Rattus norvegicus: one gene and its partners. The protein of the gene in region 5 interacts with the protein of the main gene of each other region in a pairwise test. Links are inferred from orthologs where the notes say so. Each region holds a gene or a part of one and is shown on either strand. Other genes may lie near its edges.

Region 1 (3,934 bases), on a different chromosome or scaffold from region 5:
TTAATAAGTCCTTTCGCATCCTCGGAATTCCAGGGGCTGACCACTTTCAAACCGGGGCAGTGCCCATACCACGCAGCGAAGCATTGCGAGTGCTGAGCAGCCACGCCCGCTGAGGCGCCGTTGGGCCCCCTGAACACTATGGGCACCGGCTGGAGGCCAGCAGACATATAGTACGTCTTGGCAGCTGAGTTTATGACCTGGTCAATAGCTTGCATAGAGAAATTGAAGGTCATAAATTCACAGATGGGCCGCAGCCCAGCCTGTCAAATGGAAAAGTCGATGTTAAAAAGACTAAACAGAACAAGGAAGAGTGGTAAACAACCAAGCAATCCACTCCTCTGACATCCGGACAGCACGGCTTGGGGTTTGTCTGTCTGTCTGTCTGTCTGTCTGTCTGTCTCTCTCTCTGTTTTTTTGTTTGTTTGTTTGTTTTTGTTTTTGTTTTTTTGAAAAAGTTTTCTCTGTGTAACTCTGGCCATCTGGAACTTACTTGTGGTCCAGGCTGGCTTGAACTTAGAGATCTGCCTGACTCTTGAGTGCTGGGATTAAAGGCAAACACCACAACACGCAGTGCAAACAATATTTTCAAAAGATATTAAGGAAATCTCCTTTGATAAGCATCATAAATATTACATACCATAGCTGCACCAACAGCAATTCCAGCAAAGCCCATCTGTAAAGCAAACAGCAAACTTTAGAAAAAGTCCATAGAAATTAAGACTGAATATTTGACCAGCCCCTCTCAGTTTGTCCAGAAGGCGTACCTCCGATATGGGAGTATCTATGATCCTCTTGTCACCATATTTCTTCCACAGGCCTCTGCTAACCTACAATTTAGATTTTGCCACATCACTTTCAAGTGGTTGTCAGGGTAAATGGCTACTTTTTAATTTTATATAAAGTTTATCTAGTTCAGTTACCTTGTATGCACCATCATACTGGGCAACTTCTTCCCCAAGCAGAAAAACCTTTTCATCTCTTTCTAGTTCTTCATCCATACCTTGATTAATGGCTTCACGAACTGTCAACTGTCACAGGTACATAAACAGAAAACACGCTACAGGATTATTAAGGAGACTACGGAAACTCCCTTCTTCATACTTATCTACGCTGCCCACAACATAAAACATAAATCTAACATTCATGCAGGCAGTCCAAGTTCCAAAAATGTGAGGAGGCAAGATGGCCAAGCCTGACGAGTCTCATCTCCATTTCTACGTGGTGGAAGGAGGAAACTGATTCCCTGGAAGTTGACCTCAAGTGCACACGGGCATGCTCACACACACAAAAAACTTATCATACAAATCAAAGCTCCAAGAACTTAACAAGTAACTTATGCCAATAATCTTTCACTAGATGTTAGTGATAAGCCTACAGAACACTTCTGCTGTACTGCTTGATGTGCACAGTCAAGAAAACCAAGCAATTGCTAAACTAGCTCGAAGGCAGTTTCCCATGTAGAAAACACGCCAGGCTGTTTTACCTATACCCTTGGAGCACTAAGACTCAGAGAACGAGCAAGGAAGGTCTAACCATGGCTACTAACTACGGCTAAGTTTAAGCATTCAGTAGTGTACAGCTTGACATCCACAATGCTGGTGCTGCTAGGCTACTAAAATATGTAGAATGGTAAAATCCTTCTAAGATATACATATGCCAAAAAGAAAAGAAGTGTGTATCTGCAAGCCAGTGTTCTCAGCACCAGAACAAATCCAAACGGTGGAAACAAAGTCACCCTTGGATGAATACATAAATAAAATGTACAAAGGATATGAGTCAATGTTTCAAAGGAACAAATTCTGATGTATGTATTCTACAATATGGTTGAACCTTGTTAAATAAGCCAGACCCCCCCCCCCAAAAAAAATCAAAAAATTCCACTTATATGACGTTCTAAAACAAGCAAACTCAAAATGTGCCAGAAAAGTACAACAGCGGCTGGCATAGTGTGAATTATCGTGTAAAGTTCTGGAGATTGACAGTGTATACAGTGAATGTATTCGATGCCACATTTGAACACACAAGGTTTTAAAGTTATATTTTACCACAATTCGAGGTGGGGGCGTAAACAGTCAGGAAAGCAGGTGGCTGTCGGTTAAGACTGCCACCGGCCTGGTGAGAATGGGTGCCAGTATGAGTGGCACCGGGCGGTGACAGAGCCAGCGCGAATCATCCGCAGGACGCGGCCACTGCCAGGGTCCGAGATGCCACTCGGCCTTGGGGCAGACGCGACCCCGATCTTTCAGGCCTGCTCCCGGAACCCAGGATTCCCTCCCGGCCTTGCCCAGAGTCCAGACCGGTTACCTGCACCGCCGCGGGCGCCGAGCGGTGGAAACGCCTCTTCAGCAGCCCGGAAGCCTGGCAGTGAAAGAGAAAGAGGTTCAGAAAGGGCACAGGGGATACGGCGGGTGCACCAGGGGCCGCTACTTACCTGCCGCAAAGGTCCCCGCACCAGACCAGCCACCGCCGCCATCTTGCCCGTGTCCTCTACTCGCAGCCGAATGACAACACAGAAGCGCCGCAGACCCCGTCCGGCGCAGCCAATGGTAGGGCGTGACACCTTTAGGTCCCGCCTCTGTTCGGCAAAGCCAATAGAGAATGTCAACTGGAGGCCCGCCTTCCTGAGTAAGCCAATAGCAGGGCAGTATTTCAAAAGCCCCGCCCCCAGGCTTTGGCAGGGTGAGACCTATGGCCCCGCCTCTGCATACGTAGCCAACGGCCAGTTTTGACGCCTGCGAGCCCCGCCCATCTAGCGAATCCTGGTCCTGCGGAGGTGACGCGAGGTTGCTGTTCCTCTCTGACCTGGTGCACTGGAGAGAACTTTGCAGACTGCTCGCGGTGGCTGTCATGCACCTAGCACGCCCTGCACTCGGCCCTTACTGCTGTCTGCTCACGTGCTAGGACTGAGTCAGTGTGGCCTGATCAACGGAGGCTGTAAAGACCTTAAGGCCCCTTTGCGGGCACTGCGGGCCTTGAGCAACACGTGAATCTTGCAACACATTGTATGAATGGGCGCTGTCAATTGAATGTAAACAATAGCTTTTTTGTGTGCACTAAGTGTCCACTTTGTGCCAGGTATTGTGATGTGTGTTTGATAAGTGATTGTAGGCGGTAGTATTCTCTCCATCCAGACGTGAAAAGGTGAGGAGTTTGTTCTGATCATGCTGAATTTAGATGGCTTACCTGGACCGTAGAAGAAGCCTGAAGCCTAGTTTTAACAGACCTAGAGACATTTGAGAATAGCTGTTTAGACGCTGCCCTTATTTTCTGCATTCAGTCTCATCGACTGTAAATGGAAAGATGGACAATGAGGTATGGGATTACCTCCTTCCAAAGCTCCCTGGTTAGGGCCATCAGGTGGTCATGTTGTAAGGTATGTCAAATATAAGTCTGCTATCAAAGAACATATAAACTTGTGTTTGGGACAAGGACTTCAAAGCCTCTTATCTCTCCTGCCATCAAAGACTTTGATGGAAATAGATGTTTTTGTTTTAACCCCACAAGACAGGGTTTTTTTTTTTTGTTTGTTTATTTTTTTTAGATTTATTCATGTATTATACATAAGTACACTGTAGCTGTCTTCAGACACACCAGAAGAGGGCATCCGATCTTTTTACAGATGGTTGTGAGCCACCATGTGGTTGCTGGGAATTGACCTCTGGAAGAGCAGTCGGGTGCTCTTAACCGCTGAGCCATCTCTCCAGCCCAAGACAGGGTTTTTATATGTAGTCCTGGCTGTCCTAAAACTCATTCTGTAGACAAGTCTGGCCTCGACTTACAGAGATCCATCTGCTTCTGCCTTCTGAGTGCTGGGATTAAAGATATGTGCCACCACCACCCGATCCATATTTTTTTCTTTTTACCACTGGGTATTTTTTATGGCATAAGTGTTTCAAATTTTATTTACTAGCAATTTTAATATTACATTCACTAC
Region 2 (3,500 bases), on a different chromosome or scaffold from region 5:
GCTGGCGGTAGGTGTCTGTCTTTCCGTATAGAAGAATACTTTATTTCCCATGATACTCTCTGTGGTTCTCAGAAAGTCCCTGTAGCACGTAGCATAAAGATTTTCCTATCGGAAGGGCAAACAGTGCATATAAATAATAAAAAAAAAAAAACTCTACTGCTGATCCAACTTCAGGCATGGCTGGATTAAGAGGCTCAAACCATAGCACAAAGACTGAGCTTTGCTGGGTGGGATGGGCTCAGACCTACTATCCCAGCACTGGAGACACTGAGGCAGGAGGATTTCTGTGAAATTTGGGGCTAGCCTGAACTGTATACCAAGTTAAGGTATGGACCCCTCCATGGCTCAAACTTCACTCATTGTGGAGCTGAACCATCAACTACCCAGACTAAGATCTTCCTCCTTCAGGTCTGTAGGGCCTCATGGAGTGAACCCCTTTGTTCTCACAGGAGGAGAAGATGCGGAAGGAGGAGGAGGAGGCAAAGAAGAGAGCAGAGGATGACGCCAAAAAGAAGAAGGTTCTGTCCAACATGGGGGCTCATTTTGGGGGCTACCTGGTCAAGGTGAGTCTAGCCTGTGGAAGTCTGCATTTACAAGTAGGGAAGGGAAACTTCAAAGTGTTGGTCCTGAGGAGGGGGACTAAGCCTGGACTTCATTCAGGCGCAGCTGTCACTGTAGATAACATGACAAAGTAGGTGAGGGAGACACCCTGCTCATTGTCTCTGTCCCTCTTCTGTTCACGATGTCCTTCTGGTGGTGCCTGGGTGTTAGGGAAGAAGACTGGGGCCTGTATTCCTACATTTGAGGGAGGAGGCATGGAACTTGAATTTCTGGGTCTGAGTCGGGAGGGGCTGGAGCCTAGGGCTCTGGGACTAAAGGAGAGCTGGAGGCTGGACCCCTGGGTCTAAGGGAGGAGGGCTGAGGCTGGAGGGAGGAGGGCAGTAGTCTGGAGTTCTAAATCTGAGGGAGGAGGACTGAGGCTAGACTCCTTGCATCTGGTGGAGGCACTGACCTTGATTGAAGGACACTGAGTGGATTTAGCCTCCAGGTTCCACTCTTGGTTTGCGATTCCTCCCCCTCCAGGCAGAACAGAAGCGTGGGAAGCGACAGACTGGTCGGGAGATGAAACTCAGGATCCTGTCTGAGAGGAAAAAGCCCTTGAACATCGACTACATGGGGGAGGACCAGCTCCGGTAGGTCGCAGAGGCTCTCACAAGGCTTCAACGGGCGCTACTCTGGGTCTGAACCTTGGTGCTGTGTTACTTCAGGCAATTGGCACTACTTTTCTGGTCTACTGTTGTCTTCTGTGTTTAAAATGTCGCTCAGATACTAGCTGCCCTGTAGCTGGCGTGGCCTTTAGTGTCTGGTATCCACAGTGCCCCCTCCAGAATTTAGGCGGAATTGCAGCATTCAGGGAGGAGACAGGAGGATCAGAAGTTCAAAGTCATCGTCTGCTGTATATGGAGTTGGAGACCAGGCTTAGTTTACATGAGATCTTGTCCCAGGAACCCAAACTACACACACACACACACACACACACACACACACACACACACACACACACACACACACACACACATTAAATATGTAAGTAATAGCCAAACGGCTTTCATTCTGGGTCTCAAAGCCATTACATCCTTCTCTCTTCGTTGGGAGACTTCCGTTTGGGAACTTCCGTTTCAGAAATGTGGCCACACATTTTAAAACCTTCAGCCTGCAATCTTAGCAAGAGTGCAGCAACTCTACCAAACCCAAAGAGACTTGGCCTGGGGTAGGTGTTTCAACCTCTCTGGACCTAGAACACAGGCTGGATCTCGCTGCATCCTGGTCCTTCTCCACCTGCCAGGGAGAAGGCCCAGGAGCTGTCAGAATGGATCCACCAGCTGGAATCGGAGAAATTTGACCTGATGGAGAAATTGAAGCAACAGAAATATGAGGTGAGATCTACCTGCCTCTGTTGGGGCCCAGGCTGGGTGAGAGGTGTTGCAGGCGGGTCCCTGCCTGGGTGTCTACCTAGCCTGGTTTCCTGCTCCACAGATCAATGTGCTGTACAACCGCATCAGTCATGCCCAGAAATTGTAAGTGCCACTCCTAACCTCTACATACGAACCCTTCTGTTCCCACCATCCTTCCCTCTCTCCCACTCTCCCTCCTTCCCTCCCTCCCTCCTTCAGCTGCCCCTTTGGACTCTCCTGCCTTGCTTCCCGAGATATCCTATCTTTATCTGTTCTTGTGGGTTTATTTATTGTCTTTTTTGTCTGTTTAATTTGTTTATTATTTCAAGACAAAGTCTTACTTGGTAGTTCAGGCTAGCCTGGAACTCACTGTGTAGCCCAGGCTGGCTTTGAACATGTAAGTAAATCAGTGGCACGCTGGGATGGTAGACGTGACTTACCATTCCTGGCTGTTTTGTTTGTTTGTTTGTTTATTTATTTATTTATTTTTAAAAGATTTATTTATTTATTACATGTAAGTACATTGTAAATGTCTTCAGACACATCAGAAGAAGGCATCAGATCTCATTACAGATGGTTGGGAGCCACTATGTGGCTGCTGGGAATTGAACTCAGGACCTCTGGAAGAGCAGTCAGTGCTCTTAACCACTGAGTCATCTCTCCAGCCCCTGTTTATTTATTTCTAAGGCAAGGTTTCACGTAGCCTAGATCACTAGGTAGCTGAGGCTGGCCTTGAACTACTGATCCTCTGGATTTGGCCTTAGGAATGTTGGGATTATTGACTTACACTACAACCTCTTGCTTTCCTTATCAGCTCTTAGGTTTCAGTCTCCCTCCAGCTCCTTTCTTTCTGAGTATCTATTATTTTACACCATATTTGCATCACATGTTTGCAAGCACACATGTGTGTGCATCTGTATGCGTGTTTGTGTATGGGTATGTGTGTGTGACTGCGTGTGTGTGTGTGTGTGTGTGTGTGTATAAGTATGCATATGTGTGTGCCCACAGAAACTAGAAGGTTTGGATCCATTGGAGCTAAGTTACAGGCATTTGTGCACCACAACATATGGAGTGTACTCAGAGGATGTCTTGGAAGACTTGGTTTCTTCTTTCTTCCTTGTAGTCCATATATATATTTTTTTTTCTTGCTATATAGCCCAGATTGTCCTCAAACATTTCCTAAACCTCCTGCTTCATCCTCCAGGGCTGAGATCACTGATGTGTTCCACCATGCCCAGGCTTTTCGATGCTTTCTGCTCAGTCTGTTTCTTTTTCTAGCCTTTTCTGTACTCTTCCAGCCTCCCTGAGCCCCATTGCATGTCACGACCTCTAGCTAACCCTTCTTTTACCCCTTATAAGTTTGCATGAGTTCTCTGTGAACTAACCCATGAAAGTCAACTCCCACCTGACCACCAACCACTTACCGGGCATTATCTGAGAGAGCTGCACTCAGCCGGGTTGTGGCTCAGTGGTAGATCTAGAATCCCCAGTGAGGGACTAAGGGTGTGGCTCAGAGGTAAAGCCCCTGCCCAGAATCCCCCAGCG
Region 3 (3,500 bases), on a different chromosome or scaffold from region 5:
GAAGCAGGGTGAAGCAACAGCCCTAGTGGCATGAGGTGGGAGATAGGTGAGGGTTTATAAGGTGGGTGGTTCTGGGTCACAGCAGAGGCCTTGAGTCATGTGAGGATTGAAGAAAAACGTTGGCTGCTAGAAGGTACAGTAGGTGTGGAGGCTTGAGGGCAGAGCACACTGTGTGTGCTTGAGGCCCTACTCGGGGCCAGAGTAACTTAGTGAAGTGATGGGAAAGATGGGAAGAGGTCAGGGCATCTCATAGACTGTTGCAAGAATCAGAGGTTCTGGAGCTCTGTAGGAGTCACCAGAGGGTATTGGGAACAATAACAACCACAGTTTGACGTCCACTAAAAGCAAAAACAAACAAGCAAATAAACAAAGATAGGAAAGACCACTTTGGGAGCCATGCCCAGAGTAGTCCAAATTGTCAGGGAGAAGGGAGGGGCAGCAATCAGTTAGGGGACTTGTAACCAGTCCTGAGTAGGGCCCTGGTGACCTGGAGCCAGGGGGATGAGTGGAGAAGGCTTCGATGGCTGGCTTCTGGATATATTTTGAAGGACATAGTGACTGGGTTTACTAGTGATTTGGCAAGATATAAGGAGCGAGAGAGCTAATCGAGATTTTTGACATAAGTTACTAGAAGACTGGGATCGCCATTGATTGAGATGGTAAGGCTGAGGGAAAACAGTCAGCAAACCAGGGGTAAAGGAAGCTTTCTCAACCCAGTACAAAGTACCTAGGTGACATGGTCCTGCATGTGGAAATCAATGACTCTATTGATAGCCTTAGAGCTGACAAGCAGGCATTGTAAGGTTGCTGGAAATAAGAGTAATGTACAAATCTCAGGGTTATGCTCTGACTTCATTTTCTTCCTTTTTATTTTTGAGTTAGAGTCTTAAACTCAGCATTCTCCTGCCTCAGCCTACTGAGTTCTGGGATTGCAAGCACACATGCATGCGCATGTGTGCATGCGTATGTGCACACACACACACACAACAGTGCTTGCTGTACTTTGATAGCGGCATACCATATTAGTGTGTGTGTGTGTGTGTGTGTGTGTGTGTGTATGAATGTGTGTGTATCTGAACGTGTGTATGAATGTGTGTGTGTGCATGTGTGTGTATGTACATGCGTGCATTGCCATATTGTGTGTGTGCTCTAGTGTGTGTGATCGATATGGCATGGTGAATCTACATAGTCAGCCAGTCTCCTGTTGGCCCCAGGCTCTGTTCAGAAGCGTGCTTGGCTCCCAACTGCTGCCTTGTAACGGCATTGTTTTCTTTCCCTAGTGTATGAGTTGTTTGCGTTCATCAGTCACATGGGAACATCTACGATGAGTGGCCATTATGTTTGCCATATCAAGAAGGAGGGACGGTGAGTCTTTTAGAAGGTAGTGGATAGCTATGCTGTCCAGCCTCCTGGGCTCAGCCACTTTACTAATCGCACTGGTGTTTTTATGTTATTTCTGCTTCCTACATTGCTTTGCCTTGTTTTGTTTTGTTTTGTCTTATTTTAAGACAGGGACTCATTATGTAGACCTGGGCTGGTCTGGAATTCACTATAGAGCAGGCTGTTCTTGAACTCATATCCACTGCCTCTTCCTCCGTAGTGCTGGGTAGGATTAAAGGTGAGTACCACCATGCAGCCTCTCATAGTGGGTTGAAGAGGCATACTCCTCCCCTCCACCTTTGCTTTTTAAACCAGAGTCTCTGTGTAGCTCAGGCTAGCCTAGAACCTGTTTTGTAGTCTTAGCTGGTCTTTAACTTGAAGTTCCCCTGCCTCGGCCTCCTGAGTACTAATGTTATAAGCATGCACGTGTGTCTGACATGTTGTATGCTCAACTGTTTAACAAACACAAACACTGGGGCTTCCTACTCAGTTACTGGTGCACAGTTCAAGGGCATCCTATGCTACTTATGGAGTTTGAGGCCAGCCTGGGGTTAAAAACACTGTCCTGGCAGGGGTGGGAGTGGGGGTGGTTCTTTACCAAAATTCTGTTCCTTTTATGTTGTGTTTTGGCCTTACATTAAAGCATCTGAGTTACTGGAGACTCCCCTCCACAGTGTACAGTGCCTTCCTCCTGCCATGGGGATATTGCTGACACAAACCCACACATACTTCTGTGTTTTCAGATGGGTGATCTACAATGACCACAAAGTTTGTGCCTCAGAAAGGCCCCCCAAAGACCTGGGATATATGTACTTTTACCGCAGGATACCAAGCTAAACCTCACAAGAATTGGCGAGAAGAAGCCATACACCTTTATAATTTGCCAAAAAAGAAAAAGAAAAAAAAAAAGAAAAAGGAAAAATAAAGGAAAAAAGTTGGGACAGCCGGATGCGGAGGACTACATGGGTATTTACTGCTCCTTTCAAGAGCGTGGTCACTCGACGCCTTCTGGAGAAGAACTGGGAAGAAAATTCTGTTGGCGGTGATATTCTGTCCTGGGAGATTTTGTAACTCTTCAGGGAGAGAGTGACGGAAGCAAAGGCATTGTCCACCGGCCCCTCAGAGAGGCACTGTCTTCCCCTCTCTTCTACTTGGGGGGGTCACCAGTGAGGGCCCCCCACAGTGAGAAAAATGCCCACTTTTAAAATTTTTCCACATAGGAAATCAAAACCTGGACTGGCTTTTATTGGTGGCACTTTGTTTTCATTTCCCACAGTAAGTTCTGTGCACACTAGGACATCTGCAGTGAGAGCTATTTTTAATTTAAATCACGTCAAACTTTATATTACACTGTATGAGTGTGTGTGTGTGTGTGTGTGTGTGTGTGTGAGAGAGAGAGAGAGAGAGAGAGAGAGAGGCAGAGAGAGAGAGAGAGAGAGAGAGAGAGAGAGAGAGACCTTTGTAGTCTGCTGTACGTCTGATGGATTGGTGTTCAAAGGCCAAATAGCTGCTTTTAGGCATATTTGGAAAAGGCAGGCAAACATCTTTAAAAATTATAACTCAGGAACAATTGTTAAAAGTGAGTTCCCCACTTGGATTTTAAAGTACAGAGAGCTGAGCTGTGGCCCCTTAAGTGCTGTCTGGCATTCATGAGGGTCTGTGTCGTTTGACCTTGATGCCAGGTGCCTAAGTCTTGTCACTGTGCTTTGCCAAGGGCAGATGGGATCTCTTCCTCAGTAGGGCATTCCCTCAAAGCTTTGTGTTTAGTTTTAGTTAAATAACTGGCCTCCCAAGCTCCTGCTTACTCCCTGGGATCACGTTAGATGCCTGTGGCTTGTCTGATTTTTTTGGTCCCTGAACTTCCTTGTGTTTTCACATCTCTGCTTCTCTGGGGCCAGCTTCACCTCTGCCCTCACTGCCTATCTGCTGTGGCCCATGGTACAACCTGGGGCGCTTTAAGGATGCAAGCTGCAGAAACACCTCTGTTGCAGCTGCAAAGCCAGGGCCTTCCTTCCTTGTCATTTCCGGGTCCTAGCTGTGGTCTGAGATCAGAGCAGAGTTGTGGATGTGCAGTGGAGAGGAACCAGAGCTCTCCATAATTTTCTTACTACTTCTCATCA
Region 4 (3,953 bases), on a different chromosome or scaffold from region 5:
ACACACACACTCACACGCACACACCACACACACATATACACACTCAGACTCACACACCACACACACACACACACACCACACTCTCAAACACGCACCACACACACAAATACACACACACACACCACTCTCAAACACACACACATGCACCACACACACAAATACACACACACACTCACACACACCACACACACATATACACAGACTCACACCACACACACACACACACACACACACACACACACATGACTTAGGAGCAGGTGATGTGACTTTAAAGTAACTAAAATTGGGTGGAAATCGTGGCTGATAAGTTCCTATTGAATGGAAGATGCTTATATATGGGCTTCCTCCCTTCTGGTGATAGGCTATCTATTCTACTAGTGTGGCTTGATGGGGATTCCCATCATTTCTTTTTCCCCCCTAACAGTGGATGAACCTGACGCATGAGGAGTATCAGGAGGGTCCAGTCACAGAACAAGAACAGTGGGGTGGGGTGGGGGCTGAGGGATTCAGGATCCTCCCCATTTATCTTCGGTTCATCCTCGTGACTTCAGTAAGAGCTCTCTCTGCTCCTGTCCTCCACTTTGGAGTACATTTAGAGATTCACCCCCATTCCCTCATCTGCAGGCTTGCCTAGCGCGTCCCTTGGTGGGACAGTAACTCCCAGCATTATTCCCTCCCTGCCCAAGCCTAGACCAAGCCCACCCAGGATTCCATGGTCCAAGGCCAGCCCATGCCCCTCATGGTGCAGTAACGTGTGCCAAAGCTCTGCCGATCAAAAGAACAATAGCAGCTAGCTAGCCCTGGACACCTTCGCCCCCAGCGCATGTGCCCTTGACCCTTTAGCTGTGGGTGTCACAGGCCAAGAGCCCCTCGACAGTATAGTTTTCCGCTGGGTGGATACACAAAGGTCGGCCTACCTCTGAGGTCCACGGAGGATTGGAAGGGCAGAAGTTATTCAGTCCTGCTGGAAGTGGGGGAGGAGAAGCCGGAGGACCAAGTGGCCCTATCTTCTCCATGAAGATACCTCAGCTGGATGGAATTTGTCTATATTTAGCAGGTGGCTAGCAGGAGGCTGATAAGCAGGGCTGGGGAGGGGGTAGTCCTCATAAATAGTGAGAACACGGGACACTGTTCAGTCCCTCCGTGGGTGGCCTGCTTGGTGCGCCGTGTGACTGTTCTCAAGATGCCTGAGCCAGGGAAGAGACCAGGTAGCTCCACAGAAGGGGTTGGGTCTGGACCTGGGGCAGTGGTGTGCATGGCTTGCGGGTAGGTTAGGTACTGGCATAGGATGAGGCCTGTGGGTTCCAGGAAGGGACAGGACAGCGGTCCTCTTTGGGCTGTGTCTGATTCTCTGCTTCTTTTCCCAACCCTCTAAAGAGGTTGAGGATTAAATTCAGTGTCAGGGCCACTGAGAGATGACTTTTCTAAGTTAGGAAGAATCCAGGGTCATTCTATTCGGACCTATGCTTTCTTTTTCAGTCAAATTCCAGAAGTTCCACGTAGGTTGCAGTGGAGGCAGTCCACTGAGTCCCTGAGCACCTTCTGGTCTCAGTTTCTGAATGTACTGAGTATGTGGGGGTAGTGATCCGTTCCAGCTCTGAGTGTCTGCCACATGAGCCGGAACCCCTAGGGTCCTCACATCATGCCTGACTCCAGATATGGGGTGACAGAGCCTCTCTTCTCTTGACTAGAACAGGCAAACGAAGGACAGAGAACCTGCAACCAAAGGCCTGAACCAGGCCCATACCCTTGCAGAGATCATGGGGGCAGGGATCCAGTCCCCAGGCCCTACCTCCAGCCCCCCTGCTGCTCCCAGGCTAGTGTTATCTCAATTGCTCATTCTTAGTGTGAAGCCCTCAGAGGACAAATTTAGCTATATTCCAAGTAGGCAGCTGGGGCCCTTGCCAAGGGTCCCACAATGGGAGAGGAGGCTGGGCCCATCGCTGATGTTCCTAGTCAGGAGGGTAGGAACATCTTGTGGGGTGGTAGGGACAACATCCTGAGCTCTATCATCTGTCACTTAACCTCTCCCTCACCTGAGAAATAAATATGGTTGCACCTACCCCATAGAACTCCTGGAGCATTAAACAAGAGGCTTGGAGTGTGCTTACCACAGTCTTCTTGAAGGAGGGTGTCAGGGGTCAGGTACCAGGGAGCCTGGCTCCTGCAATTTCCATCTGACTCTTCAGTGTCAGCCTTCACCAAGAAGCCCAGGTCAGTGGAGGTGACCGCAGGCAGTGCTGCTGTGTTCGAGGCTGAGACGGAGCGGTCAGGCCTGAAGGTGCAGTGGCAGCGGGATGGCAGTGATATCGCTGCCAATGACAAGTATGGTTTGGCAGCAGAGGGCAAACGACACACACTGACAGTGCGGGATGTGGGCCCTGACGATCAGGGTTCCTATGCGGTCATCGCAGGCTCCTCAAAGGTCAAGTTTGACCTTAAGGTCACAGAGCCAGGTAAGGGCTTGCTGACCTCTCCTCAGGGCCCAACCTGATCTTCAGTCATAGCCCTGAACAGGGAATGGACTCTGGGCACTGGCCTTTGCCCTGGCAGTGCTGTAAACCAGAAATGCCTGTTCCCCTCTTCTGCACCAAGATCTCTCTAAGCATTAGTTGTGGCTGCAGCTCTTTCTGCATTGTGGGGGTGGGAAACCATGAGCGGTGTTCTAGGAAGGGCCCTCTCCCATAGCAGACCCGGAGTCTGGCCACACCCAGACAAGGACTTGGCTAGCTGTATGTGTTGGTGAGGAGCTTGGTGGTGCTGGGGGTGCTGGGTCAAGGCCAAAGCCTGGAAAGGGACAGCAGATGGATCGCAGGGCTGTTCAGAGCAGAAATCTGGACATGGGACAGGTGGACTGTGAAGGTTGGAGGAGCAGCAGGCTAGCTCCTCTTCTTGGAGTGAGACCAGTGCCTGAAGGAGTCTGGGGCACAAGTGGAATGCATTTTAGGTGGGACATAGGTCTGATGTCCGAGAGGGGGGCTCTGATTAGAAACCGTTCCATGACCCCACCTAAGCCCCTCCAGAGAAGGCAGAGTCTGCAGTTGCTCCAACCTCTATGGAAGCTCCAGAAACTCCCAAAGAAGTTCCTGCTCTAGCCACTCAGTTGGAAGGAAATGTCTCAAGTCCTGAAGGTAAAGGGGACTGGACAATGAGGGACAGGCCAGTGGGTGGGGAATATCCCAGGACAGACCTCAAAAGCCTTCTTTCTTAGGGTCAGTCTCGGTAACCCAGGATGGCTCAGTCGCAGGGAGTCAGGGAGCCCCTGACGACCCTATTGGCCTCTTTCTGATGCGGCCACAGGATGGCGAGGTGACCGTGGGTAAGTGGGAGCTTCTGTGCTCATACTTGGGACGGGGAAGGAAGCCCCAGGGCAACAAGGTCAGAGAAGTCACCTTTCTCTTGCAGGCGGCAGCATCGTCTTCTCAGCCCGAGTGGCGGGAGCCAGCCTCCTGAAACCGCCTGTAGTCAAGTGGTTTAAGGGCAAGTGGGTGGACCTGAGCAGCAAGGTGGGCCAGCACCTGCAGCTGCACGACAGCTACGACAGAGCCAGCAAGGTGGGACACAGGGCACGGAACTATGGAGTACAGGATGTAGGGAGGCTAGAAGACTGGGAAGCAGGGCAGAGCTGCAATGGTCAGCCACACCAGCCGCACACTGCACAAAACAGCTCCTACGTGTAGCCATCTGCTTGGAATTTTATCGTGGCCATGCGCCAGCAAGAGCCCATCAAGGGTCTTGAAAGGTGGATCCTTTCTGTGAGTTATACAAAGGCTCTGTATGTGTTAGCCCTGAGAGGTGAGGCGGGCAGGCTTTGCCATGCCCATTCTCTCTAGAAATGCAGGGCCTCTCCTTGCCCAGACTTCCTCCATCCCCTGCCCACAGGTCTACTTGTTTGAGTTGCACATCACAGATGCGCAGGCCACTTCTGCTGGGGGCTACCGCTGTGAGGTGTC
Region 5 (3,500 bases):
CACATATCTGTGCCTCATGTGTGTGCAGTGCCAGAGGAGGCCAGAAGAGGGAGCCAGATCCCCTGGAAATGGAGTTCCAAGATGGTTGTGAGCCAACACAAAGGTGCTAGGAACTGAATCAGGGTCTTCTGGAAGAGCAGGCAGTGCTCTTAACCACCAAGCCATCTCTCCGGTCTTCTTTCTGTCTTTCTGCCTTTGATTTGATGTTTGTTTGTTTTTCTGGACAGCGTTTCTCTGTGTAACCCTGGTTGTTCTGGAACTCACTCTGTAGTTTGAACTCAGAGCTCCAGGCCAGCCAGGGTTATAGAATTAGACCCTGTCTCGAAAGAAAGAAAGAAAGAAAGAAAGAAAGAAAGAAAGAAAGAAAGAAAGAAAGAAAGAAAGAAAGAAAGAAAGAAAAGAACAGACAGAGGGAGGGACGGAGGGAGGGAGGGAAGAAAAAGAAAAGAACAGAACAGACAGAGGGAGGGACGGAGGGAGGGAGGGAGGGAAGAAAAAGAAAAGAAAGGAAAAAAACCTGGTCCCTTCTTGAGGAGGGTTGGAGCTGGTAAGTTGGGGAAGAGCCATCCATCATCACCACAAGTGGACTGCTCTGTGGAGTGGAGAGGACCATTGTAACCCTGAGAGGTATCTCATGCCGAAAGGCACCACTGCCAAGCCCATTCGACTTTTTAAGACCAGGTCTCACTAGGTTGCACCAATTCAGCCTTCTGTGGGTGCGGGCATTTTCCTCTTCGATAGCTTTGCTCCGTGTGCGATCGAGTCTTGCCTTGCTGCAGAGAGTCCCTGGGGCCCTTTCTGACTCAGAAAGTGGGTTGGCACTTCATGGGATGTGACTGTAGGATTTCTGTCCTCAGGAAAACAGCCACCAGGTGAAGGAGGAACTGAGCCACAAGTTTGACGCCCTCTACGCCATCCTGGACGAGAAGAAGAGTGAGCTGCTGCAGCGGATCACTCAGGAGCAGGAGGAGAAGCTGGACTTCATCGAGGCCCTGATCCTCCAGTACCGAGAGCAGTTGGAAAAGTCGACCAAGCTTGTGGAAACAGCCATCCAGTCCCTGGATGAGCCCGGAGGGGCCACCTTCCTCTTGGTGACTGGAATCTGAAGGGTTTGGGTAGATTTGAACTATTACTCTTTCCTGATCTTCAAATGGGCCTGGGCTGTTTAAATCTTGGTGAAATGTCAGGCATCTCCGGTCACTACAGGCTCCTGACCATAAATAATCCCAGTTCTTGGGCAGCTGAGACAGGAGGACTCCAAGTTCAGGGGAAAGCAGGACAGTTTGGTGGAATAGTATCTCAAAATAAAACATGCCAGGCTAGGCTTGGTGACACACGACTTTGCTATCCCAGTACTTGGAAGACACAGGCAGAGGCAAGAGGATCTCTGTGAGTTTGAGGCTAGCCTGGTCTATAGAGCAAGCTCCAGGCAGCCAAGACTGCATGGTGAGACCTTGTCAATAAATAAACAAAAAAAACAAACATAAGAAATATTGGGAGAGGAGAGATGATTCTACGGCTAAGAACATGTCTTATGTCGAACACTTTTAATCCCAGCACTGGGGAGACAGAGGCAGGCAGATCTCTGTGACTTTGAGGCCAGCCTGGTCTACAGAGTAAATTCCAGGACAACCAGAGCTACATAATATCGAGAACTTGTCTCAAAACAAAACAAAGAAAAATAACACTTTGGTTTTGTTCTTACAAAGGACCTGGGTCCAGTTCCCAGCACCCACATTGTGGCTTACAACTACCCATAGCTCCAGTGCCAGGGTACCCAATGCCCATTTCTCACTTCCAAGGGCACCAGGCACATATGTGGTTCACATACACACACGCAGGCACTCATACATACACTTGAAACAAAAATAGGTCTTTTAAACAATATCAGCAAAACCCAGAGGGGCTGGAGAGATGGCTCAGGGGTCAAGAGTGCTTACTATTCTTTCAAAGAACTTGAGTTAGGTTCCCAGAACTCACGTCTGGCAGCTCACAAATACCCATAATCCCAAGAGCAGTGGAACTTGACACCCTCTTCTGGCCTCCAGGGGCTGCAACATACATACATATACATACATATACATACATACATACATACATACATACATACATACACACATACACACATACATACACACATATATACATATATACACATACATACACATACATACATACACATACATGCATACACATACATACATACATGCATTACATACATATGCACACATACATATACATACATATATACATACACACATACATACATTACATACACATACATACATGTATATACACACATATATACATAGATACACACATACATATATTACATAAGTACATACATGCATACAAAGACAATTTTAATGTGAGTACACTGTAGCTATCTTCAGACACACCAGAAGAGGGCATTAGATCCCATTAGAGATGGTTGTGAGCCACCATGTGGTTGCTGGGATTTGAACTCAGGACCTCTAGAAGAGCAGTCAGTGCTCTTAATCACTGAGCCATCTCTCCAGCCCCCAAGAAAAATTTAAAAACATATTAAAAAAACTACAATACCCAGAATATATGCCTTCAAGCTCTTATGGTCTAGCTTTGTCCAACCCATGGAAGAAAGTTTGGTTGACTCTCGTCCAGGAGACTTCAGACATTTTGAGTGCTTGGTCAGAGAACCCTGGCTTCCTGCCCAGACAGTAGAAACAGACTGGGGTTCATGTTGGCCAAGATCTGTGAGAAAATGTCCGAGTTCTATTTAACAGGGCAGGATTCAAGTTACGCCTGTACCATGGAATGGTACCTCGAGTCTATCCTTTGGAATTTCGATGTTAACCTCTGTTCTTTTTCTCCACAGAGTGCCAAGCCGCTCATCAAGAGGTCAGTGTTCCCAGGACTACAGCCTGTGTCCCTAGTTCCCCTCAGGGCTTCTGACACCTGCCCAATGGATCCCTGTGCATTAGTTCTGCCAGGATCGGGGGGGATCGGGACTCACCCCAGACCATGTGCCCTACTCTGTTAGATCATCCACTCTGCTTGACCCTAAAGAAGAAATGTCCTCTGCCCCTTCATCCCCTCACTTCAGGGATGGATTGTGGGACTGGGACGGACCCACATAGAGCCAAGGCTAAGCTGTCCCTTCCTGTATGCAGCCCGAGACCTCACCCTATCTCTCTCCCCCACAGCATTGTAGAAGCTTCCAAGGGCTGCCAGCTGGGGAAGACAGAACAAGGCTTTGAGAACATGGACTACTTTACTCTGAATTTAGAACACATAGCAGAGGCCTTGAGGGCCATTGACTTTGGGACAGGTAAAGGACATGATTGTGCTACTTGCTTTGTGCATGTTTGACCTTGGAAAGGCAGTGCTCCTCTTGAGCGCTGATCGGAAGCAGATTCATATTTTAAAAAAGCCAGATTTACGCAGTCAATGTTGACAGGGCCTCTCTAAGGAGCCCTGTCGGTCTTAGAATTCTCTAAGTGGACCAAGATGGTCTGGAACGC
Region 6 (3,962 bases), on a different chromosome or scaffold from region 5:
ACATCATGTGCACACACATAGTAGATAAAATAATCTTAAACTAAAAACTCACGTTTTTCAGGAAGCTGAAAGAGAGCTAACGATGTAGCTCGGTTGGCAGAATTTGCCTAATGTTCACCAGACCCAGGCTTTACCCCTCAGCACCAGGGAAGCCCGTCCGTCGGTGGCACTTATTTGCCTCTGATCTTATTACTTGGGAGGGGGAGGTAGAAGGACCAGAAAAGTTCAAGGTCATCCTAGGCTTCAAAGTGATTTTGAGGCCAGCTTGGGCTACACATGACCCTTTCTCTCCGAGAAAAGAAGCAGGTAACTAGGGTTTGTCTTTTGTTTCTTTCTTTGTGTGTTTGCGGCTGGCCCTCGCTGGATATCCTTGGCTCACTGTGAATACCAGGCTGGTCTGGAACTCAGAGGGCTTACTTGCCTCTGCCTCTTGAGTACTTGGACTATCAGTATTTACTACCACATCCAGCAATTTAAAAGATTTTATTTCACTTTATTTTCTGCTCTAAATCATATTTCTGGTCCACAAAATGTCAATATACACTAAGTATTGTTTGTCTGATTTCAGATAGTTTTTTTAATGTTTTGAAATAATCACAAATACAGAAAAGACATTTTTTTGTTTAGTTTTTGTTTTCCAAACAAGGAGTCCTATTTCACAAATTACCTCTACACGGTTCCTTCTTTTCACACACACTTTTTTTTTCTTACATTTTGGAGACACTGTCTTACATAGCCCAGGATAGTTTTGAACTCCTTACACAGGAGAGGATGTCCTTGAACTCCTTATTCTTTTTTGTCTCCTCTTCCCAGACACCTTCTAGCACAGAGAGCACAGACAGAAAAGTGCTTCAGCTTTTGGGCTTAATGTGTGCTGAGCCACTGTCCTCCAGGGCTCTGAGCTGCTGCTGGCTTACATCTCCTGCAGTTGCACACCGCCTCCCTCAGGTGGAAGAAGGCGACGAATGGGACCGTCTAAGGGCCAGCCAGTCGCAGGTTCTCTTAGAGGCACAAGGACCAAACGACAACATGCGATTAATTCTTGCCAATGGACTTGATGCCCAGCAGGGGGCGATCGAGCACCAACTCTTCCTTACAGCGCCTGCGCCTCATACTCCACCCTGCGCATGCGTAGCGCGGCTTTACGCTGACGGAAGTTAGAAGATGGCGGCGTCCGCAGTCTGCCGAGCGGCCTGCTCTGGGACGCAAGCGCTACTTCGCACCTGCCGCTCGGTGAGGTGGCAGCGAGACGTTGGGCTGCAGGGCTCAGGGCTTTGGCACGCAGATGAGGAGTAGGCTGTCTCAGCAGTGGCGGGTCTGAGTGGGGAGGTCGCGGGGGTCAGGGCCGTGGGAAGGTCATGGCGGAGGGCGGGGATGGGTATCTTCTCGGGCTTGGATGTGAGAGTCGAGGTCCCAGAGGCTTGGAGAGCAGTTCTTACAGTGGTCACCTTCTTCCTTTAGCCGGCCCTGCTGAGGCTACCTGCCTTGCGGGGTACCGCAACCTTCGTCCAGGCCCTCCAGAGCGTGCCGGAGACACAGGTCAGCGTATTGGACAACGGGCTGCGTGTGGCCTCGGAGCAGTCCTCGCATCCTACCTGCACGGTGAGTGTTTGCCAGTCCTCCAGATGAGGCGCGCCGTGTTGTCCTAGGTTGGGATGTGACCTTGGGTTGCAGTCTTACGTGTTTTGGGTGGAGACTGGAGTACTGCCGGGTTTGTCCCTGTACCAGTCTTCAATTCTGACTTGACTTCACAGCGGCAAGTGTGTCTAGCTGGTCTTACTTTTACCTGTATGAGTGGCTTACTCAAATGTGTGTATGTTCACCATGTCTGTGCATAATGCCCACGGAGGCCCGGAAAGGACATTAGAGCCCCTGGAACTGGAGTTACAGGTGGATGTGAGCTGCCTTGTGTGTGCTGGGAATCGAACCTGGGTCCTGTGGAAGAGCAACTCCTAAACCCTACAGTATCTCACCATCCCATGTATACATACGTAAAAATTAAATTAGTTTTTTCCTCATGTTTTTTTCAAGACAGGGTTTCTCTGTGTAGTCCTGGCTGTGCTGGGACTCACTCTGTAGATCAAGCTGACCTCTTGAATTCAGAGATCCATCTACCTCTGCTCCCCAATTTCTGGGATTAAAGAAAGGCATGAGTCTTCAATGCTTACCTCAAAAGTAAAAAAACAAGGTGTAGAGTAATAAGCGACAGCACCCAGTTTCCTCTGCCCTCCATAGATATTTGTATCTATGTGTATGTGCTACACTTGAACACAGAAAATAAATGCCTCTGAAAGACTGGGAAATTAACTGGGGTGGAGCCTTTGCCTAGTGAGTATAAAGCCTTGAGCTTGATACGTAGCACTGAAGGAAGAAAAAAAATGCTTTTGAAGATTACATTGAATTGGATGATTATCCAAAAATAGTTGCAAATCTGGAGCACTGGTTTGCTCTTTGGTTAAGAGGGCTGCTGCTCTTACAGAGGACCAGATTTCTGCTTTCAGCGTCTTTATTGGGCAACTTCCAGCCACCTGTAACTCTAGCTCCAGGAGATCAGACACTTTCTTCTAGCCTTCCCCACTTCTGGCCTTCTGGGATACGTACACACAAACTCAAATATTTTATTCAAAATTGCAAATTGGGCTGGAGAATTGAGTCTGGTTTATAGCATTTGTTCTCTTTTAGAGGACCTGGCTTTGATTTCCAGCACCCACACAGTGGCTCACGGCCATCTATATCTCCAGTCCCAAGGGATCCTGTACCCTCTTCTGACGTCCACAGGCACTAGGCACACACATATACATACACACAGGCAAAACACTCATCCATATGAAATAGTGAACATAGAATTTAGAAATCTTCAAAATGGAGTCAAGAATTGAAATCTTTACTAGGTGTGTTTACTAGGTGAGAAAACTCCAAGAACCAATCCTCCCAAGACATTTAGTAGGGCTAAATTGTTTCGTTGTTTTTCAATACAGTGTTTCTCTGTGTAACCCTGCACTCTAGTGTTCTGGCAGTCTGTGTAGGTCAGGTTAGCCTCAGACTCGCAGAGATCTGCCTGTCCCTGCTTCCTGGATGTTGGGATTGTAGGCGTGTGCACCACTGCCTGTCTAGGGTTATGTTTTTGTCTGATTCTTTTTCTAGGAGCAAATAATGACTTGTGATAAAGTTGTTATAAACACAGGATATAAATTCCTTGACATGTAGAACCTACATGAATAGACTCAAAACCTACTAATGAAGCTTAGTAAATCATGCTCTATTCCACAAACTGATTATGCTTCCGTTACCGAGAAAAGATGGTGTCGTTTAAAAGTCGAAGGATACTGTGGATCGTGATCTAAGATGTTAAGAGTCAGGGGACTGTTGGGGCTAGAGAGATGGCTCAGTGGTTAAAGGCACTGGCTGTGCAATCACAAGAGCTGGAGTACACATCCCAGCACCCAGGTAACAAGCTGAGAGTCCTGCAAATGCCTGAGGCTCCAGCTTGGAAGGATATGGTGTAGCTTCTGGCCACCACATGCACATAGGCGCCCACACTTACACACAGGTGCACATACATTCACACACAGAGTAAAAGGCATGCTTATCTGAAGTTATCCTGCACACTGGCGTATAGCATCTATTCGCAAAGCATGTGGTAGACAGTTAGCTGTGAGCAGATAAGCTCAGCCATGTGGGTAAGTAGCGTGTTTCACAGCTCGTCAGGAAACTGTTCACAGTGCTCGCATGCCCGCAATCTAGTACTTGAGAGGTGGGCAGAAGGAGCAGGAGTTCATCATCAGCTATAGAATGTATTCAGGGCCAGTTTGAGCTATATGGCATCCTGTCTCAAAAAAGAAAAAAACATAAAAGAATATTAAAATTCACACTTTATAAGTAGAAGCAGGATTGGGGATTTAGCTCAGTGGTAGAGTGCTTGCCTAGCAAGCGCAAGGCCCTGGGTTCAGTCCCCAACTCCG
Region 7 (2,824 bases), on a different chromosome or scaffold from region 5:
ATACAACGTGGGCCGAGGCCTAGGATTCAGTAATGCGCTATTCCGAGTCTGACAGGAGCTGAGCGCTCTCTCTCCTGTCCCTAGGAGTTGCTGCCTCTGTTGCTGCTGCCTCGAGGGCCTTTGCTCAGTGCCTCAGTGCCTCAGCAGCGCCTATCTTCCTCACCCCCACCTCCTGCCCCCTGCCCTTCCCCCAGCCTCGCCTCCAGCTTCTTGTACCATGAATTACACCCTGGATGCTTGGGCGATCTCATGACATCTGTTTCCTCTGCTTCATGAGACAGAGCTAATCCCACCTCCCAGGTAACAGGGCAGTGGGGCTGCCCAGTCCAAGGGTTCATTCCCCTGTGGCCAGAAAAGCAGATAAAGGGAGACTCTGAAAGGGGCAGGCACTGCTCCATGATTATATAAAGTAGAGCCAGCTTGAGGCTGGTCTGGGCCTCCTAACCCTGCTCAGTGCGCTTTCTCTCTTTCTGTCTCACCATGCTTCTCCCCATGTGGGCAGCTCCTCTCCCACTCCGGATTCCTTCACCCTGACTGGTGGTATTTAGACCACTTCTGGGAATGAAAGCACACGGGGGCCCACACCCAGGGGTCGGGTGTGGCAAAAATGTCCTCTCCCCTGCCCGGTGCTGCTGGTTAGTAACTAGGCTTTCTGTACAGACTCGGTTACGTGATCCTTCTGGTCAAGGGACCTCACTATGGTATGTGCCCTTGAGCCCAGGAAGGGGAGACGATGGGGCAGAGCGAGGGGGGCATCAGTTCCTGCTTCTCCTGTTCTGTTTACAGACAAGCCGCTGTCCTCCCTGAATAAGGGGGAGCAGGCAGAAGACAGTGCCAAGGTGGCACGAGGCTGCCCACGTGCCTGGTCTGAGGTGGTGTTTGCTGCATGCCAGACACCCGGAGGTGCTACTCTGAGGACCCAGGCCCCCAGCAGAGCATCTCGCAGGCTTTGGAAGCTGACCTCTGACCTGAGAGCAATCAGAATTTGGGTACCCCAACCCCCGCCCTGGATTCAGAGCCCCATCACCACCAGTGAGTCTTGGCTCTGCTTATAGCATCTGACGCCAGAGGGGCTGAAAATAGCCCCTGGAGAGGGGGGAGAGGGGGGAGAGGGGGGAGAAGGGGGCTATTTAAAGGGCTCCGGAGGAGCAGGGCATAGCAGAGGGATCAAGAAGGAATAATGGCCACTTCAGAGCTGAGCTGTCAAGTGTCTGAGGAGAACCAGGAGCGCAGGGAAGCCTTCTGGGCCGAGTGGAAAGACCTGACTCTGTCTACCCGGCCGGAAGAGGGGTGAGTGTGGATCATCTGGAATTCTGCCTCCCCCTCCCCAAATGCCTGCTACATAGCAGAGTACACGCCCCTGAAGTTTCTGGGGCCCCTCCCCTGCTCCAGGGACCTGGCCATCCCAGGGAGACCCCACTTAGCCCAAGACCAGAGAGCAGCTGCTCTCAGTTGATTCTCCTCATCTCTCCACTTTCAGATGCTCCCTGCATGAGGAGGATACACAGAGGCATGAGACCTACCACCGGCAGGGACAGTGTCAGGCCGTGGTACAGCGCTCGCCATGGCTGGTGATGCGCCTGGGTATCCTCGGCCGTGGGCTGCAGGAATACCAGCTGCCGTACCAGCGGGTGCTGCCGCTACCCATCTTCACCCCTACCAAGGTGGGGGCCACCAAGGAGGAACGCGAGGAGACCCCCATTCAGCTGCGGGAGCTGCTGGCCCTGGAGACAGCCCTGGGCGGCCAGTGCGTGGAGCGCCAGGACGTGGCTGAGATCACCAAGCAGCTTCCCCCGGTGGTGCCAGTCAGCAAACCTGGGCCCCTGCGGCGTACCCTGTCTCGGTCCATGTCTCAGGAAGCTCAGAGAGGCTGAGATGACTGCGACCGATGCAGACTCTGATGTGTCTGCCTTGGGCTGGGCACTTCCTGCCTAGGACGATGGGGGAGAGCTGCTGGCCAAGGCTGCTTTGTAGTTTGCCCAGAGGTGCGGGCCATGGGAGGAGGGAGCCAGAGGCCAGGATGCCTAGGTGTCCTGGGTCCCCACAGGGAGGGGAACAAGGATGGTGGACACTAGGAGTGGAGAGCTGAGTACCCTCAGCCCCAGAAGAAGGGACAAGAGATTCTGTTGAGAGCCAGAGGCCCCGTGAGAGGCCCTGGAACACGCCTGTGCGGTTACAGCGATGGAGTAGGAGAAGGAAGGATGTAGAATGCTCCGGAAGGATGCTTGGAGACCGGAAGGAGGGGGATGTAAAGAGGGTGAAAGCAGGGCAGGCCCCCAGCACCCTCTGTTAGCACTGCAATAAACGCTCAGCCATGTCCCAGGCTTGCATCGTTCTTTCTCTCTCTCTCTCTCTCTCTCTCTCTCTCTCTCTCTTCCTTCCTTCCTTTTCTCTTTCTTTCCTTCCTTCCTTTCTTTCTTTCCTTCTTTCTTTCTTTCTCTTTCTTTCTTTCTTTCTTTCCTTCCTTCCTTCCTTCCTTCCTTCCTTTCTTTCCTTCTTTCTTTCTTTCTTTCTTCCTTTCTTTCTTTCTCTTTCTTTCTTTCTCTTTCTTTCTTTGTGGTTGGGGGTGGGCATGAATGTCTCCCATGAACTTCTGGGAACAGCCAAGCATTTGAATTAAATATGGCATAACCAGAGGGTACACTCCATGCTTCTGAGTGGGGTACAGGGGCAGGGTTGTAAACAGAGTAACTGTCTGGTCCCCCTTCCTGTGCCACTGCCCGGCCCTGGCTTCTGTGTCCAGTTCCTGGCACTGGGGAGTGTTCAGCAGGCCAGCTGGCATCAGGGTTTGTTTAAATGGTATCTGTGGACAATATGGAAGGGG

The links.
Region 1: the proteins of Trim63 (region 5) and Pdhb interact in a two-hybrid assay, tested with the Homo sapiens proteins (2 studies listed by BioGRID). The link is inferred for Rattus norvegicus from reciprocal best matches to the Homo sapiens genes TRIM63 and PDHB.
Region 2: the proteins of Trim63 (region 5) and Tnnt1 interact in a two-hybrid assay, tested with the Homo sapiens proteins (2 studies listed by BioGRID and IntAct). The link is inferred for Rattus norvegicus from reciprocal best matches to the Homo sapiens genes TRIM63 and TNNT1.
Region 3: the proteins of Trim63 (region 5) and Usp13 interact in a two-hybrid assay, tested with the Homo sapiens proteins (2 studies listed by BioGRID and IntAct). The link is inferred for Rattus norvegicus from reciprocal best matches to the Homo sapiens genes TRIM63 and USP13.
Region 4: the proteins of Trim63 (region 5) and Mybpc3 interact in a two-hybrid assay, tested with the Homo sapiens proteins (2 studies listed by BioGRID and IntAct). The link is inferred for Rattus norvegicus from reciprocal best matches to the Homo sapiens genes TRIM63 and MYBPC3.
Region 6: the proteins of Trim63 (region 5) and Uqcrc1 interact in a two-hybrid assay, tested with the Homo sapiens proteins (2 studies listed by BioGRID and IntAct). The link is inferred for Rattus norvegicus from reciprocal best matches to the Homo sapiens genes TRIM63 and UQCRC1.
Region 7: the proteins of Trim63 (region 5) and Tcap interact in a two-hybrid assay, tested with the Homo sapiens proteins (3 studies listed by BioGRID and IntAct). The link is inferred for Rattus norvegicus from reciprocal best matches to the Homo sapiens genes TRIM63 and TCAP.

The regions. Positions count from the first base shown.
Region 1 is NC_086033.1:19,181,655-19,185,588, reverse strand, and holds the start of Pdhb (pyruvate dehydrogenase E1 component subunit beta, mitochondrial precursor), read right to left. Parts: upstream 2,801-3,934; 5' UTR 2,474-2,800; coding exon 2,432-2,473; intron 2,359-2,431; coding exon 2,305-2,358; intron 1,029-2,304; coding exon 921-1,028; intron 828-920; coding exon 765-827; intron 674-764; coding exon 638-673; intron 261-637; coding exon 1-260. UniProt on the Homo sapiens protein: The pyruvate dehydrogenase complex catalyzes the overall conversion of pyruvate to acetyl-CoA and CO(2), and thereby links the glycolytic pathway to the tricarboxylic cycle.
Region 2 is NC_086019.1:78,355,535-78,359,034, forward strand, and holds part of Tnnt1 (troponin T, slow skeletal muscle), read left to right. Parts: coding exon 1-7; intron 8-449; coding exon 450-563; intron 564-1,083; coding exon 1,084-1,193; intron 1,194-1,846; coding exon 1,847-1,937; coding exon of another isoform or gene 1,938-2,037; coding exon 2,038-2,078; coding exon of another isoform or gene 2,079-2,303; exon of another isoform or gene 2,304-3,500. UniProt on the Homo sapiens protein: Troponin T is the tropomyosin-binding subunit of troponin, the thin filament regulatory complex which confers calcium-sensitivity to striated muscle actomyosin ATPase activity.
Region 3 is NC_086020.1:117,609,943-117,613,442, forward strand, and holds part of Usp13 (ubiquitin carboxyl-terminal hydrolase 13), read left to right. Parts: intron 1-1,280; coding exon 1,281-1,365; intron 1,366-2,123; coding exon 2,124-2,217; 3' UTR 2,218-3,500. UniProt on the Homo sapiens protein: Deubiquitinase that mediates deubiquitination of target proteins such as BECN1, MITF, SKP2 and USP10 and is involved in various processes such as autophagy, endoplasmic reticulum-associated degradation (ERAD), cell cycle progression or DNA damage response.
Region 4 is NC_086021.1:97,549,908-97,553,860, forward strand, and holds the start of Mybpc3 (myosin-binding protein C, cardiac-type), read left to right. Parts: upstream 1-1,153; 5' UTR 1,154-1,183; coding exon 1,184-1,208; intron 1,209-2,189; coding exon 2,190-2,456; intron 2,457-3,014; coding exon 3,015-3,131; intron 3,132-3,211; coding exon 3,212-3,319; intron 3,320-3,405; coding exon 3,406-3,554; intron 3,555-3,882; coding exon 3,883-3,953. UniProt on the Homo sapiens protein: Thick filament-associated protein located in the crossbridge region of vertebrate striated muscle a bands. In vitro it binds MHC, F-actin and native thin filaments, and modifies the activity of actin-activated myosin ATPase.
Region 5 is NC_086023.1:151,823,736-151,827,235, forward strand, and holds part of Trim63 (E3 ubiquitin-protein ligase TRIM63), read left to right. Parts: intron 1-857; coding exon 858-1,091; intron 1,092-2,854; coding exon 2,855-2,877; intron 2,878-3,182; coding exon 3,183-3,307; intron 3,308-3,500. UniProt on the Homo sapiens protein: E3 ubiquitin ligase. Mediates the ubiquitination and subsequent proteasomal degradation of CKM, GMEB1 and HIBADH.
Region 6 is NC_086026.1:118,467,061-118,471,022, forward strand, and holds the start of Uqcrc1 (cytochrome b-c1 complex subunit 1, mitochondrial precursor), read left to right. Parts: upstream 1-1,162; 5' UTR 1,163-1,164; coding exon 1,165-1,233; intron 1,234-1,461; coding exon 1,462-1,602; intron 1,603-3,962. UniProt on the Homo sapiens protein: Component of the ubiquinol-cytochrome c oxidoreductase, a multisubunit transmembrane complex that is part of the mitochondrial electron transport chain which drives oxidative phosphorylation.
Region 7 is NC_086028.1:83,876,851-83,879,674, forward strand, and holds Tcap (telethonin), read left to right. Parts: upstream 1-1,155; 5' UTR 1,156-1,180; coding exon 1,181-1,290; intron 1,291-1,480; coding exon 1,481-1,874; 3' UTR 1,875-2,324; downstream 2,325-2,824. UniProt on the Homo sapiens protein: Muscle assembly regulating factor. Mediates the antiparallel assembly of titin (TTN) molecules at the sarcomeric Z-disk.